Linked DNA regions of Canis lupus familiaris. The protein of the gene in region 3 binds, or shares a complex with, the protein of the main gene of each other region. Links are inferred from orthologs where the notes say so. Each region holds a gene or a part of one and is shown on either strand. Other genes may lie near its edges.

Region 1 (8,127 bases), on a different chromosome or scaffold from region 3:
AAAAGATGTTTGAAACCTACACTAATAAAGACAATGTTGGATAGAACATTCCAGGCAGGATGCAGCAAATGCAAATGCCCTAATCTAAGAACAACCTAGGTGTGTCTGAGGAACAGAAATAAGGTGAGTGAGGTCTGAATGCGGCAAAAGACTATGAAAACGGTAGAAGATAAGGTGGGAGTTCAGATTTTATTTCAGATATAGTGGGAAGATAGCAGAGAACTTAAAATGAGTGGAATACATTTATATTTTGTAAGATTAGTCTGGATAGAAAAATGGGCTATACAGGACAAAAGAAAAAAGGAAATCAATTATAAGTCTAAATTAGGAAGGTAGCAGTTGAAGTGGAGAGAAATAGCTTCCTTGTTAACACAGATATGACAGTGGCTTTTATTTTAATTACCATAAATGGTTTTCAGAATAAATATATAAGCCATGAATTAAAACACATATATCTAGCTGCTTGCATGATATTCCTTCATTAGACTGCTGAAATAACCATGTTCTGGTTCTCTTTGTATGTTCACAATGCTTTGTCCATAGTAGTTACTCAGTAAGTGAGGTGGGCAACAAAACCTCTGAGAAGGGCTGGCAGGGGGAAGAGTCATGAAGAAATCCACCAATGCAGGTGGTCAGGAAGCACCACTGGCTTTCTGTTCCTTCTTGTGGGATTACTGCTTCCTTAGACAAATGTGCTGGTAATGTACTTTGTGTAGGGCTCCATTAATACATACACACAGATTCAATGTCATACGCACGGCAGTAAAACTCCTCTTACTTCTTAAAACTTCTGCTCTATAGGACAGTTGCTAACACTCACCTGCCGGCCCACTCGATCCGGGGGAGGCCACAAGGCATCATCCTCTTTGGTAATTTCACTGTCATCAATTATTCTCTTCAGTTCCTCCATTACACTTTTATGTACATAAGCCTGAAAGCAAATTAAAAAATGGAATTTAACTTGCATCCCTAAGCAAGTGTTCTGACTCAGATAATGATTAAAGATTAAAAAGAAAAAAAAAAAAAAACCTGCTAATAAAAACTGGTCTCTGGCACCACTGTAAGGTAGATGGCATTCAGGTGTGACCTCAGCATGCTCAAGAGGGCAGGGCCAGAAGTGCCCAGTGACTATACATCATACCCCATCTACCGGTTTCTACTTCTTGGCACATCCTGTTCACTTGGAACTTCTCCTTGCTTACAGACTGAATTCACACCTGAACCCAGAACAAAAGATCTGTGAGTGAACCCTGGTTATTCCTACCGAGATGACATGCTTATGAAGACCAGAGACACATCTTTTAAAATACATTTTGTATATCAGTCCACACATAAAATATATATGTATATAAGCAGGCTGAGACATGTGGGTAAACATAAAACTGAATGCTAGTTAAACATAACAGTATGAAGATATAGTAACTGTTAAGACATTTTCAAATGTGACAAAGTGGTTAAAAGGAAAGAGAAGCTTTGATGAAGCCTCAATAGTGAGGCAGAAATTAAGCAAAATAGAGCACATGGACTTGACAGAGGCAGGCATAGCTTTGAATTCCCACTCTATCTCTTGCTCGTCAGGATGAGGTGACTTTGAACAAGCCCCATAATTAACATCTGGGCCTTCATTGTAAAGGGTATATAATACCGCTAATCAAAAAGGCTTACAATCAGGGTGAAATAAAATCATATGTAAAACACCAAGTGCCAAGCCTGGCATCTAACCTGCATTCAATGATGTGAACTGCTTTCCCATGTTCCCTTTCCCCCATCCAAATGCAAATTAAAGAGCTCTTCTGAAAGCTATGCACCAGGAAATACACAAAACACTTTAGGTATAATGTATTTAATTCTGTGATAGCACTGGGGGGGGGGGGGGGGGCAGGTTAATTATATCTGTTTCTGCAGACAAAGAAACTAAAACTTATCAAGCCAGGTTATTTGCCCAGGGGCATAGAGTAAATAGCAGATTCAGGGTTTAAACCAAGATTTGCAAGACTTTAAATGATTACAAAAGTGGTTTAACATTGTAAAAGAAAATATAAACTAAAAGATGTGAGAAAAATTTTAGAAGGTGTCTATAGATATGTCTATACTTCTCTATTCTTTTTCAATACTACTTACTCCCAGAAAGAACAAAAACATGACAAAAGGCTAAATTGTAGTGAAAGAAAGGCTCTCAGAAGGCTCATTACCTCTTTTCTGATCATGACATCATTTTTGTAATTGCTGTTGTTGGCATATCTCAATTTCCCTGTGAGGAGCGAAAAAACAAATTCAGTGTATATTAAAAACGTATAAATAAAGCTTCATTAGCTCACCAAGACTATCAGCTGTTGCTTAAAATGTATCCTAGCTTTCCCCTCAGCGTCTACCAGATTTACTATTCAAACTTCTGATGTTCCAACAATAGCAGTCTTTCAGTTCTTTATTTTCGGCTATTAAGTAGCTTCAAAGCCAGAATATTGCTGACATTGAATTATAATTCTTGCAAAAGGCAGCTCAGGTGTGATAAAAGAACATAAGCAGAACATTGTGACTCTGGCAAATCATATCTCTGCAGGTTAATGTCCTCAGCTGAAAACAGGGATAGTGATGGTAACTTACTTGCACATAAGGCCTCCTGAGGCTCAGATGAATTGTGAAAGCAGTTTGAAAATTGTAAAATGCTGTTTACATATTATTCATGTGACCATGCAATACTCTGATCTATTCCTATGGTGGAAAAGTTTTGGTTTTATTATTAAGCATATTTGGTATACAAGGCCTTTTGTGTGTATATGCATCCAAAAGGCTATATGCTAGATATGAAGGAAAAGAAGAGAAAAGGAAATAGATGAATTTTTACCTTTGGGATTACACATGTAAAAAGAGCCAGATTAATTGATGCCTCACTGCACTCACTATCTCTGCCTTGTCTCTCTTGGTTCAGTTCATTCTCCATACGGTAGACAAAGTGATGTAGTAACAGACCAATCTAATTAGGTTACTCTAATACTTTTTTTTTTTGGTAAGATTTTATTAATTCATGACAGATGCAGAGAGAGAGACAGAGACATAGGCAGAGGGAGAAGCAGGCTCTCCTTCAGGGAGCCCAATGCAGGTCTCGATTCCAGGCCCCCAGGACCATGACCTGAGCCAAAGGCAGACGCTCAACTACTTAACCACCCAGGTGCCCCAGGTTACTCTAACACTTTGATAATGACAATAGCTTCTCACTGCCTTCTTTTTTTTTTTTTTTTAATTTTTATTTATTTATGATAGTCACACAGAGAGAGAGAGGCAGAGACACAGGCAGAGGGAGAAGCAGGCTCCATGCACTGGGAGCCTGACATGGGACTCGATCTCGGGTCTCCAGGATAGTGCCCTGGGCCAAAGGCAGGCGCTAAACTGCTGGCACCACCCAGGGATCCCTTCTCACTGCCTTCTTGATAAAAATCCAAATTCTTCAACATGGCATAACTGCTAAGCTGAGCCCCTGCCTGCCTTTCAGGCTCCCTCCTGCAATAGTCCACTCTTACACAGCTGGAGTTAACCACCTTACTTGGTTTCTGCTTGAAACATCCCATGCACTTTTTGGTTTTCAGCTTCTTTGATGTTGATGTCCAAATGCCTAACCAACTCCTGCACATTACTAAGACTATCACTCCTCTTCCCCCAAGTCATTTTATGCAGGAAGCTTTCTCCCATCCTCAGGCTACCTGAGGGTTAGGTTAGGTTGCCTTCTTTCTGCTCCAGAGTCCCTTCCGTTTCTTTGTACCACAGCATCAAACACACTATCCTATCATTGTTTGTTTACAACTGGGGCTTGTCAGATTCATCTTTGTGCCCCCATTTAGTGGGAGGTTTTTTATTTTTTATTTTTGTCATCTTTGATTCCTTTTCCTCCCCACAGTGGTCCTTCCCCCAGATCTTATCAAACAGCAACGTCCTATTGGTTCTGCCTCCAACAGTATCCTGAACCCTTCTATGCGCTTTTGATAGTACCTTAGTCCCAACCAGCATCCTTTTTACCTTGACAACTGTTCACTGTCTCCTAATAAGTTGCCCTGTCTCCACTCTTGCAATGATTAGAATAGATTACTTTTTCTAATCATTACTCTATTTCTAATCATACTCCATGATTAGAATACTTTTTCAGGAAGAGATCACATCTCTTCTCTCCTTAAAACTTTCCAGTTGCTTCCTGCTGCACTTAGAATAAAATCCAAACTCTCCACCATGGCCTGTAAAGACCTACATGGTGTACCCCTGCTTATCTGACATTGTCTCCTACTATTCTCCTCGGAGCTCACTACTTCCTCAGCCATACTGGCCACTTGGAACATGCTCGTTCATGCCCCAAAGCCTTAACACTTGTTACTCCCTCTGTCCAAAATGCCCTTCTTCCCGAGCTTCACAAAGCTGGCTCTCCTTCTTGTCACTTAGGATTCAGTTCAAATACTACCTTTCCAGAGAGCACGCCAGTGGCCACTCTGCTTAAAAGCAGTCCACTTTTTAGCAATTACTCCATCGTTTTGTTTCATGCTCTGACCACTCGTCATTATCTGAAATCTTTGTTTGTTTATATCTCTCCCAGCACCAGAATATATACGCTATGAGAGGAAACTTGTCCCAAATTGTGAAAGAGAGCCTGGCACAAAGTATGCAATCAGTGTCTGCTGAATGAAGCATTCTAGTTAAAAAAAAAAAAAAAAAAAAAAAAGTTCGTGCACATGGGAAGAACCAGCGGAGCGGTCACAGGAGTGGCCCTTTCAGATCCGCGCCGCAGTCATCAGTCCCGTCCTCTCCTAGCTCCTCCTCGCACATTCCGGAGCCCGGGCCTCCCCGCTCGCCCGACCCCAGGCCCCGTCCTCGCTCGGCCGGGGCCAGAGGCCGCTCTTACCGTCGGGCCGGAACTCAAACTCCAGGAACTCATGGCCGAACTTGCCCTTGTGACCCACGTAGTAACGCAGATAAAAGTCACTCTCCATGGTTCATAAGGAGGCAACGGAGACGAAACTTGACCAGCAAACCTCGTCGCCGCGCTGTGCGCCCAACACTGACGTTTACCGGGGCGCGCGGATGTGACGTCAAGGCGAGGCTGCCGGTCGCTGCGAAGCGGCCCAGGCCGTCTGCGTTCCCGGAAGTGGCGGCAAGTCTGGCGCATCCCCCGGCGGAAACCAGAGCCCCGTCGCCCGGAGGCGGGGTCAGCGCAGCCCCGCCCCCTCGGCCGCCGGCGGGAGCGCGGCCACGGGTCGCCCCCGGGTTTCCCGAGGCTCGAGGCCGCAGGCGACGCGAGGGCGCCCGGGCTTGGGCGGCGGGTCTGGGGACCCTGCTTCACGACGTCCGGCTGAGCTCCGCGAGGGCTGCGCCCCAGGCTCGACCTCCGTGTGCGTGGGCCCAACGTGGGCGAGCCCGAGACAGCTGTTCACCGTCGGTGATGAAGGAGCTGACCCCACGGACCGCCGCACGCGCTGGCGCGTGGGTCAGAAGTTGGCTCCGGCCGAACTTTGCTCACGGAAACGCTCCCCACAGACGCCTTTCCTGAATCCGTGGTGCCGCTGCCGTTTCCCTGGAACTGACCTCTCCCTTTTATCCCTTTTACTTTTACTTTTTTTTTTTTTTTTAATTCCTACCTTTCCCTTTCTACTTAACTGGTCTCTAGAGCAGGTGCTGCGGGTAGAGGTTAAACTGGATATGGAATTTCCCCTTCTCGTTTTCTAGGCTCTGCTTACCCGGCAGGGATTCTCCGACCTGGCTGCACAACGGAGTCATTCGGGAGCATCTTAAAAATACTGATGCTTGGGCCCCACCCCAAACCAGACAATCAGGTTCTCTCGCCGCCCTGAACCTGGGCGTTGGTACTTTTTTGCAAACCCCCCCCGCCCCCCCCCCCCCGCCCCAGATGAACAACGGGGCAGGACTGATGCCCAAGAGCCCCTTGTCCTTTCAGGCCAAATTGGTTGACCTCTGTGAAGTCTTTCAGGCTGTGGAAAATTTTCCTCCTTGAGTAGGCAAAGGACAGTCAAAACCCTAATTATTAGGAAACTGCATTAGTTCGTGGAAGTTCCAGTGAGAGCAGGGAATTGTGAAATCAGGTCTAGAGACCGTGCTAAGATGGCATCATTCTGGGGGCCTGACCACTGTAATTGTATACTGTTCTTCATTGAGGTCAGTGGCCTCTTGATTCTCATTCCCAGTCTTAGCATTACTCCTTTTCTTCCCCCCAAAAATAACTGGTGTAGAGTGGGTGTGAAGAGGGAAAATCACTGGAAGCTTGTGTTAAAATAATCCTTGTGTGATTTGATTCGCTATGATCGAAGGTGTGAACTAACCTTCCACGCCACAGTCATCAGTCCCTTCCTCTCCTAGGATCAGTGAATCTCGAGGTTCACTCAAGTTTATCTTTAAAATGAGGGACAAAAAAATAAAATAAAAATAAAAAATAAAATGAGGGACGCCTGGGTGGCTCAGTGGTTGAGCGTCTGTCTGCTTTTGGCTCAGGGCATGATCCTGGAGTCCCGGGATCGAGTCCCGCATCGGGTTCCCTGCATGGAGCCTACTTCTCCCTCTGCCTGTGTCTCTGCCTCTCTCTCTCTCTCTGTCTCTCATAAAGTCTTTAAAAATAATAATAAAAAATAAAATGAGAAAAATAATGTTATACATCTGGCAGGACTGTTGTAAGAATAGAAAACAAAATCTTGGAAATTGGAAAAATACTTTGCCAACTGTAAATTGCTATAAAACTATAGGGTGTTTTATTTAAACACACACACACACACACACACACTGGGGGACACCTGACTGGCTCAGTTGGTTGAGCATTAGACTCTTGATTTTGGCTCAGGTCATGATCTTGAGGTCCCGGGATCAAACCCTATGTTGGGCCCTCCCCCTCCTCCCAAGCAGGGAGTCCACTTGGGATTCCCTCTCTCTCCCTTTCCTGCTGCCCCTCCCCCTCTAATAAATGAATAAATCTTTAAAAAAAGAAAGCATGGGATATGGGTGGTAACAAGGGAATTGTATGAAAAAGAGAAGGGAACCACGAGGTATTAAGCACCTAATAAATGTGAATCCATTTACAAATGCTTATTCTTTGAATCCTCACAACAGTCTTGAGGCGGTAATTCAATTAAGTATATAGATTCATCAGGTAATTACCACGAAGTTATTTTCCAAGAGTGAACTTATAAAAATTATACTGTTAACTGTTGAATCTGGGCATCTGCAGATGTGGCAAATATCAAACGTTTTGAGAAAACTTAAAGGAACTGGACACCAGTCAGACTGGATCCAGGTTTGGGGGCATGAGACAACATGGTATAGCTGAAAGAACATGGTCTGTGCACTTATTGTTATGTGCTGGGAATAATACAATGGTGAACAAGACAGACCTTTATAGAACTTGCAGAGGAAGCAGTTGAGCATACAAGCAATTATAATGTAGAAGCAACGGTTACAAATAGAGGAAGCACAGACTACTATGGAAGCACATGGGATGGCTCCTAATCCAATCTAGGGGCCTAAGGGAAGTCTTCCTGAAGGAAATGTTCCAGATAGAGGGCCCAGAACTGTGTGGTTGGAATACAGAATGAAGTTGTGAATATAGTAATGAAGTTGGAGAAGGGACAGAAACCAAATGGCTTACAAGGCATATTAAACTAGAATATGGGCCAAAACTCAAAGGTATTGGATTTTAACGCAAGGGAAACAGATGAAGAACTTTAAGCAGGACAATAGAAAGGCTGGTGGTGACGTGACCTCTTGCCTTCTAGAAAAAAAATCACTCTAGCTGCAATATTGGTAGGAAGTTGCTAATAATGATGATCACCCAAGATAATGGTAATGGAGATGATAAACGTGGATGGATTCGTAAGGGGTGGGCAAAGGAGATTAAGATGTGGCCGGAGAGGTAAGGAAAAACCAGGAATATGGTGTCATGTGCGCCAAAATAAGAGTACTCTAAGGTGTGCCAACGGTGTTAGATACTGCTTCCAGGTCAAGGAAGAGAAAGACTGAAACTGTAAGATTTGTAATCAAGGGATACCCGGAGTGGCTCAGGGTAAACGTTTAGCGCCGCCTTCGGCCCAGGGCGTGATCCTGGAGGCCCAGGATCGAGTCCTGCGTCGGTCTCCCTGCCTGGAGCCT
Region 2 (8,249 bases), on a different chromosome or scaffold from region 3:
AACTCGATGTGGGACTCAATCCTGGGACTCTGGGATCACGCCCTGAGCCAAAGGCAGATGCTCAATCACTGAGCCACCCGGGTGCCTCAAGGCTTATTTTATTTTATTTTTATATATATAAAGGATTAAGTATATATATTTTCACATCTCTAACCCTCTCTGTTTTTCACATTTCATCTTAAAAACAGAGAGGGTTAGAGAGGATTAGTCTTTGCCTCAGAAGTCTTTATAGGGGATAAAAACAGTAAGTGGCCTATAAAGATCTTAACACTGTGCATTCCACACATGCTACCTACATAGTCTTAGTTCTAGTACCTGTAGCTCTCTTACGTAAGCATGAAGATGAACACTGGCATGTGTGCCAAATATCTGAAGAACATGCACTAGGGAATCTAAAGATATTGAATGATGCTCCCTGCAAAAAACAGGCCAAATGGATTACTGCTTGTATTTTCAGAGCTACTATGGAATATTGTGGCCAAATTTCTGTGGGCTATTCTTGTAGTAAGTACACTGACCAACTCATCCCAGTTTGCCTGGGACTTTGCGGGCTTTAAAACTGAAAGTTCCACATCCCAGGAAACTCTCAAATCCTGGTCAAACCGAATGGTTATTCACCTTAACGATAAGGGATAGTGCTTTATGTGTCTTGTTTATTTTCCATAATGGCAGCATATAACAGGGACTGAATAATTTCTATATTAACATTTATACAATGATTAATATAGATTTCTATATTGACGATATATGTGTTAATACAGATTCAACATAATCTGGCCCAGTCTGCCTTTCTAGTTTTTCTACTCGCATGAATCTTATGTGTTAACTATAGTGAATTTCTTCGCTTTCCCAAATCACACACTATGCCTTTGCTTAGGCTGTTTTTTGCTTAGGGTGTTTTCTGCCTGGAATGCTTTCTTTCCCTTTGAACATATACCAAATTTATTCAAGGATGTCTAATTTAAATAGTAGGTCTGGTCATAAGCCTTCCTTGATACTTCCCTTTCTTCAGTTTCCCCTACTCCCCAATAAAATGACTTGCTTCTGCTGTACTACCAGCATTTAAGAATATCCTTTCTTTTCTTTTTTAATAACTGATAACCAATTTATTAAAAAGGTTGATGTAAGCATCTGCACTGGTGACTTCAACCTCACCTTCTAGCTCAATACTGATGGAAGTAATTTGCTTAATAATTTTAGAAGGGCTGTGCAAATCAATGAATCGCTTGTGGATCCTCATCTGAAAATGATCCCAAGTCTTAGAACCTTGACCATAAGGAATTTTTCTTATAGTGATTCTCAGAGCCTTGGTAGGCATCTAAACTGGTCCTTTCACTTTGAGATTCTTTTCCTTTGTGCCTCTGATCAAGTCAGTACATACCTTCTCCAAAGACTTTAGGTTGCAGCTGGTTAGGTAATTCTAATTCTGTGAATTGCTACCTCTGGTTCCACGGGTGTTTTCCCGATGTCTTTAAAAGCCATGGCTGCAGCTTGGCTCCCTGATGAACTTGTTCCTCTGGGACAGGGAACAGCAGTGAGTCAGGAGCTGAAGCTGGGTGTACAAAGTTCTGCTATTATTGCACCTGTATCTTCTTCAAAGAGCTAAAAATATTCTTTCTTTTAAGGTTTGCCTCCTCGTGTTAATACATGTCTACATGATTGCTTTCTTCTCTGGACTAACAGTATAAAGGGGTCTATTATTATTACCAGTGTCTGTCCATTTCTGGCACATAAGAAATGCTAAATGTTAAAGTCATTATGTGTTTTACAAATTTTAAAACTTATTATACATTTATTATCTCATTTGATCTTCTCAGTAATTCCTGAGCTTGGCAAAGTTGATTGTAGGATATTCACTCGGTTGGTGAACAAACAGGCGTCAACAGTGACTAAGCAAACCACGGTTAGTAGAGGTAAGTGATGGGAATGAATCCCAGGTCTTCTGACTGCCACTCTTTCCTCTATATCCTGCTGAAGGTTAAAGGTCACCCAACAGAATTACGCTGATGGTAAAAACAAGGGTGATCAATAATATTCGAAAAGCAGACTGTGTATAAAGTTTCTTTCCACTTCCTCCAAAACCCATTCTATACTGGGACACTACTTTAACCTCCCCAATTTAATTCTTTCTGGTAAGAATCGTGGGCTGGGGCGCCTGGGTGACTCAGCCAGTTGGGCATCTGCCTACTGTTCAGGTCACGATCCTCAAGTCCGGGATGCAGCCCCAAGTTGGGCTCCCTGCTCAGCGGGGAGTCTGTTTCTACCTCTGCCCCTCCCCCTGGAGAAATAAAATTAAAAAAAAAAATGTGGGCTAAACCATTTGATCTTAAGTCACATTCCCCAAACTCCACAGGCTACCAAAGATCAACCCTTACTGAATGATGGAAGTTTTACTATTAAGAGGAACTCTCTTAATACGGTAAATGTCAGAGATTTTTAGTTTCAAAGCGCTTTTCAAATTTCAGACCTCTTGTCTGATGGATTCTTTCTACTTCGCCTCTATTCTAGGTTCCATCATTGTACAAAGGGGAAAGCCCCGGTGAAGAAGCTAACTTCAGGAAAGGGCCGGTAGTCCGGGTCTACCATTCTGATTCCGGGCTGTTTCTTTTTGCACCAGTTAAAGGGGAATGAGGCCACACCCACCTCGTGAGGACGGGATGCCGCGAGGATTAGGGATTCGAGGAGGAAAAGCGACTTGCAAACCTTCATTCTAAACCCATAAGTAATCATTATTAGTTTTGCCAATACAATATGAGCTACTTAATTTGGGGGGGGGGGGGGAAATGGTCTTCCAACCTTAATTACGCAAAGTTCCTATCGCCCGGGCGCCTCTGAGCAGCTAGAGTCCGCCTCCCCCCACGGTCCTCCAGGGACCCGGGAGCGGAAAGGCGCGCCCGCAGTGACGCATTTATCCCGCGCGATGACGTGGCTGCCAGGCGCCCGGCGGCACGTTGGCCAGGCCTTGGGCGGGCTTCAGGGGGCGCAAACATGGCTATGGCCAGCGATTTCTACCTGCGCTACTACGTAGGGCACAAGGGCAAGTTTGGACACGAGTTTCTGGAGTTCGAGTTTCGGCCAGACGGTGAGCAGCGGAGCGGGGCGCCGCCGCCGCCGCCGCCGCAGCCTAGCGCGATGCGCGGCTGGGGGAAGCGGGGCGGAGAGGACTCGGAGGAGGCGGGGTGCGGTGAGCCAGCGTCGGGGGGCTTGCGAGTCTGTCGTGGGGGCCGAGGTCACGGCTAGAGCCGGAGTAAATACGAACTGAAGACTCTTCAGAAGCAGAAGTTGGTTCTCTGCATAAAAGAAAATTCACGGGTGTAGATGAATTCAGAAAATCGAATCCTGCCAGGTACTGAAAACTTGAACATAGGATAATGAGAATCCCACGTTCAGCGCACCGGAAGAGACCCTAATGCCATCTAGTTTACTTGACGTCATCCTTGAACATTTTAAAGAACATCCCACCACGCACTGGCCCAATGGATGCTTAAAATCTTTCGGGGACCGGTGATTCTCGGACTCCCCATTCAACCATTGTATTCGTTCAGGCGCTGTCTGTAAGGCCACGTGTCTAGGAATAGGAATGAGACCCACTCTGAAGAAGGAAGCTCCACGTATGGAAGAATGGGTATAATGATGTGGTTTGGGTGATTAAATATAGTTGTTCCCATAGGATGCGTTAAGAATACAAAAGAGGGGAATGGTTAGGGCTACATGTAGGCGTCGAGGAAAGCTTCCTAGAGAAGGTAACGTTTGAAATTGTAGCTGGTATGCAGGGCTATTCTGGGGTTCCCAAACAGACCAGATTGGGGGCGCAGCCGCTGATAACATCCAAAGGCAGAGAATCTACTGTTGGTGAAACAAGAAAGGAATTTAGTTCAGAGAGGCCGGCACCAAGGAGACCATGGACTAGAGTCTCAAACACTCTCTCTACATGCCAAAATGCCAAAAATACATGCCAAAAAAAAATGAGGGGCAAAGGTGCGTTTGAGATCATGGTGGAGGTAGCCCAAAACCTCTTTCAAGATGAGTCTTGAAATGAGAATAGACTTTTTTTTTTTTTTTTTAAGATTTTATTTATTTATTCATGAGAGACACAGAGAGGCAGAGACACAGGCAGAGGGAGAAGCAGGCTCCATGCAGGGAGCCCGACGTGGGACTTGATCCCGGGACTCCGGGATCACGACCTGAGCTGAAGGCCGACGCACAACCGCTGAGCTACCCAGGCATCTCGAGAATAGCTATTTTCTTGGCCTGTGAGGGAAAAACAACAACAAACATTCAGACCGTGGGAAGCAGCATGAACAAAGGATAAGGTGGAAACTGCTGCCTTGTAGGTGCAGCATATTTTATGTTTTGAGAGCCCTGATTCTCTTTAGAGAGTTATTGTATATTGAACTCTCCTTAGAACCAGGACAGTCCACCTGCATAGATTTTTCTGTCTTTGAATGCCCGTTATATGCTGGGCAACATGTAAAATACAAAAATTGAGGGTACAATAATGAGCAAGTCTCTTCAACTTCTCTGAAGGAGTTTTGCTTTGGGTAACAAAGATGTAAAACTAGCCATAAAACAGTGTGGATATTAAATGATGTGTTATGCTTTGGACAGAGTTCTGTGAGAGTGAAAGATAAAGCACAGAAGCATCATCACATATTAGAGAAGGGGGAATAGTATCAGACATAAAAAGAAACTCAAAGTAACTACAGCCCTGCAGTTCAGAAACCTTAATCACTATTCTCCTATGTTCTTGCCATGTCTCTTCTAAATTTAGCTAAGGAGCCAAATTTACCTGAATTCTCCATCTAATCTTTTCTTAGGTGATACTCCTTTTAGTGCTTTTGCCTGTAAACAGCTTTCAGCTTGCCTAGATCATGTTTAGTCACATAAATTAAGTAGTCTCATTTATCAGGGAGAGTTCATGCCAGAACAGTGGTTTTCATCCAGTTGTCTGCCACCACACCATTCCATATACTTCCTTCAGTGATCAAGGGTCACTGCACTAGGGTAACCTATCATTTTAGAGATCAGGACCACATTACATATGTATATGAACAACTGACTATAGCTATGAGGAGAAGCATGCATCAGGGAGTACAAAAGTCATGGATTAAAGTTAAGTGTAGGTCAGCTAACAAACTGGCCGACTTTTATCTAGAAGCAGTACATAGTTTTGTATCTTAGCCACAGTGTTAAATAGTAGCATTGCCATGCATAGATTAATTTGAAGGAGATAATTAAAAGAACACTTTGGAGTAGTGGGGAAAGCAGGAGTATTGGAAGAAGGTAGACCTAGAACTGAATCTTTGTGACCCTGGGCAAGTTATTTAACTCTGTTTTCTCAACTATGAATAGTTGAGAGAATAAAACCTTTTAAGGGTTGTTTTACCGATTAGATCTAATGCTCTGGGTAAATGACTTAGGGCCAATAGAGACCTATTACATAGGCTTTAAAAAAAATGTTAATTCCTTTTTCAGAGTCCCTGTTTAGTTCATGACAGCTTAGGCAAATGAGCCTTAAAAATGACCCCTCTATTATATTGAATTATATTGAAGGCATGAAATATTTAAAAATTATGTTAAATACTTTAAAAATCTATTGAAGGCGTGAAAGTTTTGAAAATGACTGGCTTCACCTTTAGCCAACTTTTTACCAACAAATATTTGAGTGTTTACAGGTCTAGCATTGATCTTATGCTGAAAGGGCAGAAATATTAATGAAAATAGTATAAATCATCTTTACCTTCAAAATTGCTTTCATTGTCATTTATTTATTTATTTGTTTATTTATTTATAGCAGTTTTTGCAGTTATAAATTGAATTTTTTTGTATTCCCCACAGGAAAGCTTAGATACGCGAACAACAGCAATTACAAAAATGATGTCATGATCAGAAAGGAGGTAAGTTCTTTTTGAATGTCTAATTTTCTACATTTAGACCATTTTCTTCATGTCATTTTTGAATTTACAAAAATACACCTAAGGCTGTATTGCTGTAAAGAAGCCAATTTATAGGTTGAAAAGGGAGTCTTTAAATTAGATATAACGGTAGCATGTGTAACAGAAGAAGATGCAATCTGAGTATATTAAGTTGTAGTCCCACTTTTGAACATATAATTTCATTCATTTTATAATTAGTTATGTCTCCTTATCCCACTCCTTATTAAACTAATGGATAGTCAAGATTTAAACACAGTGAATTTTACATGAAAGGCTCAAAAGTTAGGGCTAAGTAAGAAAAAGTTCAGAGCAGTAACTGGGATATGTACTTGTATTTGTCTCTGTTCACCACAGATTTTCCAAATCACCATTAACCATTCAGATGTATTTGAGTTCCGTGTTACAAAGGCAGATCCAAAGTTTTAAAAAGGGGCTAGTGGAAGTTATTAATTTATTTATTTTAATTTAGTAACAGATATATATTAAAGGAAAGGGCAAGAGAGTTAATAAAGTTGTAAGATGAGTGATTCCCTCCCAACTTGTACTTTTGGAATCAGTATTAGATTTTCCTGTGATACTCTCTTTGAATATTTAGGTTTTGTAACTTTGTATTATCATTTCATCCTGAGTTGTGGGAAGAAATAGACATTGTGGAATTTTTATTGTAACTTGTTTTCAGGCTTATGTACACAAGAGTGTAATGGAAGAACTGAAGAGGATTATTGATGACAGTGAAATTACAAAAGAAGATGATGCATTGTGGCCTCCCCCTGACAGAGTTGGCCGACAGGTTTGTGTTCAGTGGTTCTTTAGGCATGGTAGTAGAAACTGGTAATATAAATGTTGTGTTTCTACTTATTTATTTAGAATAGATCCTCATTGATTCTTTGGTTTTCCATTTATTTAGTAGGCATCTGATCAATACTCTTTGATTTTATTTCACTTAGTCTCATTTTCTGTCCTACTTCTGAATAGTAAAGGAGTCAGTGCAGAGCTCTGAATTTAGACATCTTCCTGACGAGTCTTCTATGTAGCTTCACGAGTTAAAGTTATGATGTTTTCACACTGTTATGAATAATTGCTATTGTATATTAATTCTATTAAGAAAAAGTACAGTGTGAAATTCAAGACAAGATTCTTATTGACTATAAAATTCACTTTCTTCATTTTTATAACTTTGAGAACTCTTAGGCCCAAGAGAGGGATTTGATTGCGTCTTTGTGCAAACTGACTACCGCATTTGCCTCCTGTTGTTCCCTTTGGAGTAATTAATGTTTCTCAAAGGGCTTCTGGAGAAGTTTGTTTTTTTTTTTTTTCTTCTTTTTTTTTTTTTCTGGAGAAGTTTGAAGGCTTAATTTCCCTCTGTAGAAAGACAGTTTGATTGGGTCTTTTCAACTCTTGGAGAATTGAAATACAAATCCTGGAGGAAGAAACAGTTAATTTCATTTTTGTATATTCCTGAGGATTATACTTTATATCCCCTTCCTTGACTGGAAGAAAATATGGAGAAATCAAATGCTGATGTTCTGTGCAATCACTTAACTCTTCTATTTAAACAGGCATTTTTTAGGAAAGCAAAGGTCATAGTTAATAGTATTTATGTGACATATTGTAAACAGTTTTGAAAAGTAACTTTTTAAATCTTGGTTTCTTTCTTTCTTTTTTTTTTTTAATTTATTTATGATAGTCACAGAGAGAGAGAGAGAGAGGCAGAGACATAGGCAGAGGGAGAAGCAGGCTCCATGCACTGGGAGCCCGATGTGGGATTCGATCCTGGGTCTCCAGGATCGCACCCTGGGCCAAAGGCAGGCGCCAAACCACTGCGCCACCCAGGGATCCCCTAAATCTTGGTTTCTTTTATGCAATAGGTACTTATGTACTAAAAAACAGACACCATAACAGCAAATCATTTATCTCTTTTAGACTCAGAGAGAACTCAGTATTTTCATCTACCCACTTGATGATGGGTTTATGTGTTTTGGTTAGTAGGGAGGGGTAGGCATGTTCCAGAAATCATTTATTGGATTTTTAAAAAATTAATTAATTTATTCATGAAAGACACAGAGAGAGGCAGAGATAGGCAGAGGGAGAAGCAGGCTCCCTGGGGGAACCTGATGTGGGACTTGATCGTAGGACCTTGGGGATCACAACCTGAGCCAAAGGCAGGCGCTCAACAACTGCTGAGCCACCCAGGTATCCCTATCAATTGGATCTTTAAGTCAAAGATTCTATGATAGTTTGAGAGCCTTAGTTAATTCTCCATTTTGTGCATGTCATAAACTGTGTATAATTAGGTTTCTTGGTCAAAACATA
Region 3 (8,041 bases):
CATTGTGGGAAGAAAAGAAAAGTTCCTCAGGGGCCTCCCACTGCTAAAGATTTTTGTGACATGTTGATCTGTGCTCCCTGGGTTTGACTTTTAAAGGAATTATTCCGGCAGCACATGTAGTATTCTTGGATGATCTTGCTGCTTTTATTTCTCCTTTTGTGTGTGTGTGTGTGTGTGTGTGTGTGTGTGTGTGGCTATGGGTTTTCATTTGTAACTCCATCTGCTTAGGAGAGTGGGCTCTCCACAAGGGAACCTGCTGTGAACTTCATCGCAGCAAGAGTGTAGAGAGAAATAGGACTTATTCCACTAGGGGCTCTCATCTCACACCTTAAGGGGAGGAAAGAGATTTCTAGAAAAACTGGGCCAGATTTTCTTTGTTCTCCATCATTTTAATATGGTAAGCTGTTTGGCTTTCCTACTCTGACCTATGTTATGTTCCTTTATAATGTGCCCAAGAAGAAAAAAGACCAATCAGTGTCTCTTTACGTTGTTCCTTGATTCCTCGGTTTCTTCTTGGTTTTCAGCATTTGTCGGATTCCTAATTTGGATATGGGTTAGCAAATTAAATCTTTGTGTTTGTGCCCTATCCAGGAGACTCCCCAGATTCTGAACTTGAGCTAGACTAAGAGGAATCCATGAGGTGCTATCTGGCCAGACATAAGTGGATTCTATTTCCTTGGTTCTCCCTCTACCTAGGACCGCTCATTTTATTGTCCCCTCTTCTAGATCAGTTCTCCTTTGATTTGGATGCATTGAGGTTTTTTGAGGAGGTTGGAGAGTAGATTAGCAAAGTCCCAAGAGCGAAATTACAGTGTGTTAGAGTGTGGGGGGAAAATTAGTCTTATTTTTTCCCTACATGGGATACAACACTGTGAAATTCAATCTTCAACAAAGGCCCTGCAATTCTCCTAAAACATAGTTCTTTGTTTCTTTCTTTAACAAAGTTTAAGCTAGTGTTAATAAATTAAAAAGAAAAATTGCTTGTCTGTCCACTTCAGCTTTGTTTTATGCCCATTTCATATTGTTGTCTGTGTTGTAATTCATACTTTTGATACCATTTCTGATGTGTAAAATTGGTTGTCTTGTAAATATCTTATAAAGAGTTCAATTGTAAATAAACTATTGTGGCTGTTAATTTTTGAACTTCCGCTTCAATTTATTAGATATATTGGGAAGCATTAAACGGTTCTGGTAGATATTGAAAGATTAAAAATAGAAATCTATTTTTGCAAAATAGAAAAATACATCATTTTCTCTTTTATTTGTGTATGAACACAACATGTTTTTCATCCCTTTGTTCTGTGTTCTCCTTTACACCTATGGTGAGTGGCAACTTTAAAAACAAGATTCTAGGACAGGATACTTGGTGCCTGGTGTCTAAATGAATAAAGCCTCCTAATTGAAAAGACCTTAGAGGTCATCTAGTCTGACCCATAACGCATGATTTTCCCCTTGACAGCATTCCAGACAAATGAAGTCCAGCTTCTGCTTCAACATTTCATTTTTTTCTATGCATTTTTTCCTAAATGTTAGAAAATCCTTCCTCACTGGTAAAATCTAACTTGTAACTCCAACCCATTGGTTCTTGGTTTGCCTTCCAGGGTGATGAAAAAGAATCAATTCTTCCTGTTCCTCATAGTCTCTTGAATAGTTAGATTGCTGTGGCTGTCAAATCTTTTCTTCATGGTAAACATTCACAGAGCTTATATTTATTCCTCAAAAGTAAGGATTTTGAATTTTTCAGTTCCCTCTAAGTGAACAAATTGCTTGTATTCATTTAAAAATTGAACCCAGACCAAACAACTGAAAGGTAAAGTGGCAGGTTATCGCTTTCCTTATTTAGACACTAAACTTGGCAGCTTCATTTGCATCAATTTACCTTATGATAGAAAAGATCCTCCAGATCTTCCTTTCTTTCCAACACTTATTAAATCATACATCCTCCATTTGAACTCTGGCAGCTGGGTTTTGGAGCTGGATTTACAAGTTGTCACATTTGGCCCCTTGTTTAACTAGTTGAGATCCTTTTAGATCCTGAATCTATCTATGAAGGCATTCAGATTGGCTTCTAGTTTCATATTGTCTATAAATTTGGTAAATATCAGATCTTTAGCCATGTAGTTTTTAAGAAATACTACAGAGGACAGAATCCTGTGCTTTGCCATAGTGACCTTTCTCTGTTTGATACATATCAATAACGTGCACTCCTGTAGGTATGCTAATCACTTAGCTTATGCATCTTGAGTATATTTATTATGGTCCAAAGAAATTAAGACTTTTTTTTTTCATTGTTGACCATGTCTTGCCAAAACCCAAGCATTCCTCTCATCTACCGGTCTGGTAACCTTTAAGAAGGAAATCATGTCAAGATACTGAACCAACGCTTGTTCCCATCATCATCTCTTTTAGAATCAGTTCCAAAATCTTGGCTGAGTCTGGCATCATACCAGCCTGCACTTTGGAAGAGGTGATAGCTGGGGTGGGAAGATACAAGATGAGGAAATGAGAAAACAAAAACATGGTAGTGATGCAACACTAAGTCCTCGAGCTTCACTGCAAACAATTGCTTTCTCCTTCACCTTTTAGCTTCAAATGGGCTGCTGTGGCAAATCTGATACATCACAACAGCTTTAGAGGTTTACCTTGACTGATTTTACCGAGCAAACGAATGCAGTAAAATGATCTGCTTCAAACGTAGGTAGAAATGAGAAACGGAAATAGAAAACTATGAAACAGCTCCAATGCCGCAGCGAAGCTGTAGCAGGTGGGCGCCCTCCACTCGGAAGGCCCAAGATGGCTGGGCGAGGAACCGGAGGCGGCTGCCCGGAGCTCAGCTCCCCACGCCCGGGGCCTACTCGAGGGAAGACGGGGTCGCGGAACGCCCCCGGTACGTCACCGATTACGTAATCCCACTCGCCTGCAAAAGTGCCGCAGGGCGGCAGCCCCGCCCCTAGCCCCTCCCCCTGAAAAGCGCGGTGGCCCGTGTCGCACGTGAAGCATGCTGGGATTAGCTCTCGAGCCTCCCGGCAGCCCCTGCGACGGGCGCGGTACGTAAGGAGCTGGCCGGCGACGGCCGTTCTCCGTAAGATGGCGGATCGGCGGCGGCAGCGCGCTTCGCAGGACACGGAGGACGAGGAGTCTGGTGCTTCGGGCTCAGACAGCGGCGGCTCCCCGGCGCGGGGCGGCGGGAGCTGCAGCGGTAGCGCAGGAGGCGGTGGCAGCGGCTCTCTGCCTTCCCAGCGCGGAGGCCGAGCTGGAGCCCTTCATCTGCGGCGGGTGGAGAGCGGGGGGGCCAAGAGCGCTGAGGAGTCGGAATGTGTGAGTGCGCGCGGGTGGGCCGGGCCGGGGGGCGGGGTGTAGGTGGTGAAGGGACGCTGGGAGTTGATGGTAGATGCTGGGGCGTATTGTGTTAGAGAAGAGAGCTATCCCAGTGCAGTGTGCATCCGGAGCCCCGAGGGAGGAGGTGGTGTTGGGGTTTCTGGGGGAAGGGCAGACCCGCTGCACGTGAAAAGAGGATCTTTATTCAGAAATTGGGGCTGGAAGTGAAGAGACCGGACCTCCCTCGTTTGCTACTTGTTAAAGATGTACCTTTTCTCATCTCCCTTTTCAACCATTTTGTGTTGAGTTTTCAGTTCCCCACCCTCTGGGTATCAAGGAACTAAATCATGTCATCTTCTTTCCTTCAGGAGAGTGAAGATGGCATCGAGGGCGATGGTGAGTAACATCATGACAAGTATTTTGCCCGTCAACTCACATCACCTATTTCCACCAGTTGACATCCTCTCAGACCGTTAAGGATTTGGGGGCGGGTACCACTGAGTGGCTCTTTGTAACACAATGCCTACAAGCTTACGTTTTAGCAGTATGATCTTGGGCAAATCACTCATTGAGCCTGTTTCCCATTTGTAACTGGGAATTATGATTTTCTCTCTCTGATAGATTGATGTCAGAATTGAACGAGGGTCTTAGCTTGACTCAAAAAGCAGTGAGTAATAACTTTTTTCTTTACATATTTCTGTTTCCTTTCAGCTGTTCTGTCGGATTATGAAAGTGCAGAAGACTCTGAAGTGAGTGTGATAGGCTTTTTTTTTTCCCTATGGTATATGGGTTGGAAATTTTTTGATGTATTTTAAGAACGTGTATACACCTGTGGTTCAAAAGTACCATGACCTCCTTGTTATTTCTCTTGTGCATTCTTCATTTATGTTTCTCAAAAACTGTTATTAAAGGTCTTGTTTATTTAGAGTGAGAGAAGTTTGGTGCATTCCACATCAGGTTTCATGTGTTAGTACTGTTAGTAGTTGGCTTTTCACCCTGTCTGAAGAAAATAAGTTTCTAAATAAGAGAATGAGAACATCCTGAAGCCCTTCACAGAATAAGAGTTCCTTTTATGCTAGGAAGTGAAACCAGCTAATTGAATTTTTTTTTTTTTCCAAGTGTATGTGAAGACCTTAAAAGGAGAGGATCCTGAGTTGTTTGTATCAGAAATATCCCTGTTTCTAGGGAGCTTTCTCCCTCCTTAAATTCAGGAGAAAATATCCATAAGCCAAGCTTTTGTGACTTTATTTGTTTTGGTTAGGTGAACTACTAGAGATGCTATTTGTTTCCTGGGGTTGAATAAAGTCCTAATTTCTGGAATTTGGGTCATGAGGTTATGGGCAGGAGGAATTGGATTGTGGATCAAAGGTTCATTCTGTAAGTTTTGTAGAACTGTTACTACATATTAGATTTCCATTACATCCTGGAGATGCAACAGCAAACACTATACTAAAATTTCTGTCTTTAGGAATGACTTAGGAAGTCAGATAAACATGCAGGCAGTCCTACGAGTTGGTGACAACTGCTGGGGATAGGCTTAAGCTTAAGCAGGGTGTTAATGGCTGAGTACTGACTCCATCTTAGGCCGTCGAGAATAAGTTGGAGTTAGGCCATGTTTTAGGCAGAGGGAACAACAGCTGTGAAAATCCAGACACAGGAGAGAAAACTGAATATTTGGAAACTTGGAAGTAGTTTGGTGTGGCTGGAATATTGTTAGGATGGATACCAGAAATAAAGGCTAATTAGTGAACAGGGATCAGATCATGAAGGGGTTTACTTGTTCCTTTTCTTCATTATGCACCTGCTGTATGCCAGGAGTTATACAAGGCACTAGAATAAAAGACAAACATAGTTCTGCTCTCCTGGAATTTACATTCTGGGGAAAAATAGACAACTTTAAGCAAGTAATTACAGTAATGTTTGGTGTCGTGATATCAGAAGCACAGGGCGCTTTGGAAGCACATGGCAGGGGCAATGAATTGTTTGGAAACGCTTAGAGGATGGGATGTTGAAATAGAGACTTGAAGGGTGAGTAGGAGTGAGCCAGGCAGTATTCTAAGCAGAGGGAACACTGTTTGGGAAGAAGGTCTAGAAGGGATGGACTGCATGACAAATTGGAGAATATGAAAAGTTTAGTGTGACTGGGGCTAAATGATGAGTCTGAGTCCAAATCTTAAAATACCTTGTAAGCCTGATTAGAATGTATTTGGATTTTATTCTAAGGAAGTAAGAAAGCATAACAAGGTTTTAAACAAGTGTGATATGGATTAGACTTAAATTTTAAAGAAGTGTTTTTCAGAACTAAGGAACTCCTGCATCAGAAAATCCAGTTGGAAAAAAAAAAAAAGAAAAAAAAAGAAAAAAGAAAATCCAGTTGGCCAGTTCTTTTTTTTTTTTTTCAGTTGGCCAGTTCTACTGAAACAAAATCTTGCAGAGGGAGGGAAGACTCAGGCATTTATGTTAACAAATCCTGGATTGATGCTTATGCACAATAACATTGAGAATTATTATAACAATTATTTTGTTTGCAATGATAGTTGATCTGAGGGGAGCAAGATCGGAGGCAGGAAAGCTAGTTAAAGCTATTGTGGACACTGAGTGTATACTGTATATTGGCAAATTGTATTTGTTTACTTAAAAGATTTTATTCATTTATTCATGAGAGACAGACATAGGCAGAGGGAGAAGCAGGCTCCTTGCGGAGAGCCTGATGCAGGACTGGATCCCAGGACCCCGGGATCACTACTTGATCCAAAGGCAGACACTCAACCACTGAGCCACCCAGGTGCCTTGGCAAAGTGAATTTAAATAAAATATGTATGTATTTATTTATAAAGATTTTATTCATTTATTCATGAGAGACACAGAGAGAGGGAGAGGCAAAGACATAGGCAGAAGGCAGGCCCCATGCAAGGAGCCCGACCCAATCCCGGGACTCTAGGATTACGCCCTGGGCCGAAGGCAGGCGCCAAACCACTGAGCCACCCAAGGATCCCCAAAATAAAATAATTTTTTTAAAAAAAAGCTATTATGGAAGTCTAGGAAGCAGTAAGCATGGACTGGAGTGGAGTAGTAGCAGTGAAAGTAGAAGTGGACAGAATTGAAAGTTATTTAGGTTATGGAATTCCCAGAATGTGGTGATTAATGAGATGCCTTATTTTCTCTGAAGTCAGTGATGAAGTTATCTGCAATGAGTAAAAGGGAGATGAGAAGTTTTGGGGTGAGGAATGTTTGCAGTAGTCACTAGAGAATGGAAACCCTGGAAACATTGTCAGGCGGTATGGAGTGTTCAGTGAGGTTTGGTGATTGTGAATTTATAGCATCTCACTATTCTGTATGTAAATGAGTTTGGTTGTTATCCTAATAATGAGAAAGAAGGCTACTGAAGGTCTCATTATGGGGAATGAAGCAAGACTTGGGACATGGAGAACCGTTAAGAGATTGTTAGGATAAGCCAAAGAACATCATGGTGCCCTAAAGAAGAGACATGGCAGTGGGACTCAGATTTGAGAGATGTTTAGGTGGTACTAACAGAACTTCTTGATTGATTGACTAAGGAGCTTGAATTAAGGAGTCAAAAGGATGCCCAAATTGATGAATGATGTTATTCCCTAAGAATGAGACCCAGGAGATTTCATGGAGGACATTGATGGGTGAAGTTTTGGATGTTTTGAAATTGAGGCCTGTGGGACTTTGAAATGGCAATATATAGTAATATGGCCTAACAATTGAGAAGAAAGCCTAGTTCTACTCTGTCCAATACAATAGTCACCAGCCAGATGTGGCTCTATAGTTAAACTTAAAACTTCAGTTCTTCAGTTGCAAAGCCACATTTTAAGTACTTAATAGACATGTGTGGCCAGTGGCTGCTATATTGGACAGCATAGATAAAAAGATTTCCGTCATTCTAGAATTGTATCGGACGGTACTAGTTTAGATTCAGAAAAAAGATCTGGTGTCCTGACTTCATAGTAATGCATTACTTGCTTGCTTTTTTTTTTTTTGGTTACTAAATGTATACCTAGACACTACAGTTCAGTTTTGCCTATTAAAATTTGATCTGTCTCGGAACGCCTGAGCTGCTTAGCGGTTGAGTGTCTGCCTTCAGCTCAGGGCGTGATCCGGGAGTGCTGGGATCGAGTCCCACATCTGGCTCCCTGCGTTGAGCCTGCTTCTCCCTCTACCTGTCTCTGCCTCTCCCTCTCTGTGTCTCTCATAAATAAACAAATAAAATCTTTAATAAATAACTCCTTTCACAATTTAAAAAAATTGATGTCTCTTAGTCTGCAGGTTAGTTTTTCATCCCATTTCTTTTTTAAAATTTTTTAAAGATTTTATTTATTTATTTATTCATGAGAGACAGAGAGAGGCAGACTTAGGCAGAGGGAGAAGCAGGCTCAGTGCTGGGAGCCTGATGAAGGACTCGATCCTGGAACTCTAGGATCACTCCCTGAGTTTGTTTTATCTTGAACAAAACTGACAATCAGTTTCTTTCCCTTAGAGGTCACTTGCTGTTTTTGTCTAGATATTCCCAGTATATTTTCTTTAAGGTCTGATAATTATGTTAGAATTTGTCAAAAAAAAAAAAAAGATTTGTCTTGGTGGTGGTTTTTCTGGATCAGTGTTCACAGATATGAGATGTACTCTACTCTGTGTCATGGAACCCCTATCCATGGCAGTCTTCAGTATTTGACCCTTTCTCTCTCATCCTTTTTTTCTTCAT

The links.
Region 1: CASC3 (region 3) and MAGOH share a complex: the UniProt entries of both Homo sapiens proteins name them as parts of the mRNA splicing-dependent exon junction complex. The link is inferred for Canis lupus familiaris from reciprocal best matches to the Homo sapiens genes CASC3 and MAGOH.
Region 2: CASC3 (region 3) and MAGOHB share a complex: the UniProt entries of both Homo sapiens proteins name them as parts of the mRNA splicing-dependent exon junction complex. The link is inferred for Canis lupus familiaris from reciprocal best matches to the Homo sapiens genes CASC3 and MAGOHB.

Annotation. Positions count from the first base shown.
Region 1 is NC_049226.1:56,147,414-56,155,540, reverse strand, and holds the start of MAGOH (protein mago nashi homolog), read right to left. Parts: upstream 5,101-8,127; 5' UTR 4,971-5,100; coding exon 4,883-4,970; intron 2,252-4,882; coding exon 2,193-2,251; intron 932-2,192; coding exon 821-931; intron 1-820. UniProt on the Homo sapiens protein: Required for pre-mRNA splicing as component of the spliceosome. Plays a redundant role with MAGOHB as core component of the exon junction complex (EJC) and in the nonsense-mediated decay (NMD) pathway.
Region 2 is NC_049248.1:11,014,554-11,022,802, reverse strand, and holds the start of MAGOHB (protein mago nashi homolog 2), read left to right. Parts: upstream 1-2,894; 5' UTR 2,895-2,988; coding exon 2,989-3,082; intron 3,083-5,838; coding exon 5,839-5,897; intron 5,898-6,615; coding exon 6,616-6,726; intron 6,727-8,249. UniProt on the Homo sapiens protein: Required for pre-mRNA splicing as component of the spliceosome. Plays a redundant role with MAGOH in the exon junction complex and in the nonsense-mediated decay (NMD) pathway.
Region 3 is NC_049230.1:22,372,747-22,380,787, reverse strand, and holds the start of CASC3 (protein CASC3), read left to right. Parts: upstream 1-3,027; 5' UTR 3,028-3,087; coding exon 3,088-3,318; intron 3,319-3,686; coding exon 3,687-3,714; intron 3,715-4,029; coding exon 4,030-4,067; intron 4,068-8,041. UniProt on the Homo sapiens protein: Required for pre-mRNA splicing as component of the spliceosome. Core component of the splicing-dependent multiprotein exon junction complex (EJC) deposited at splice junctions on mRNAs.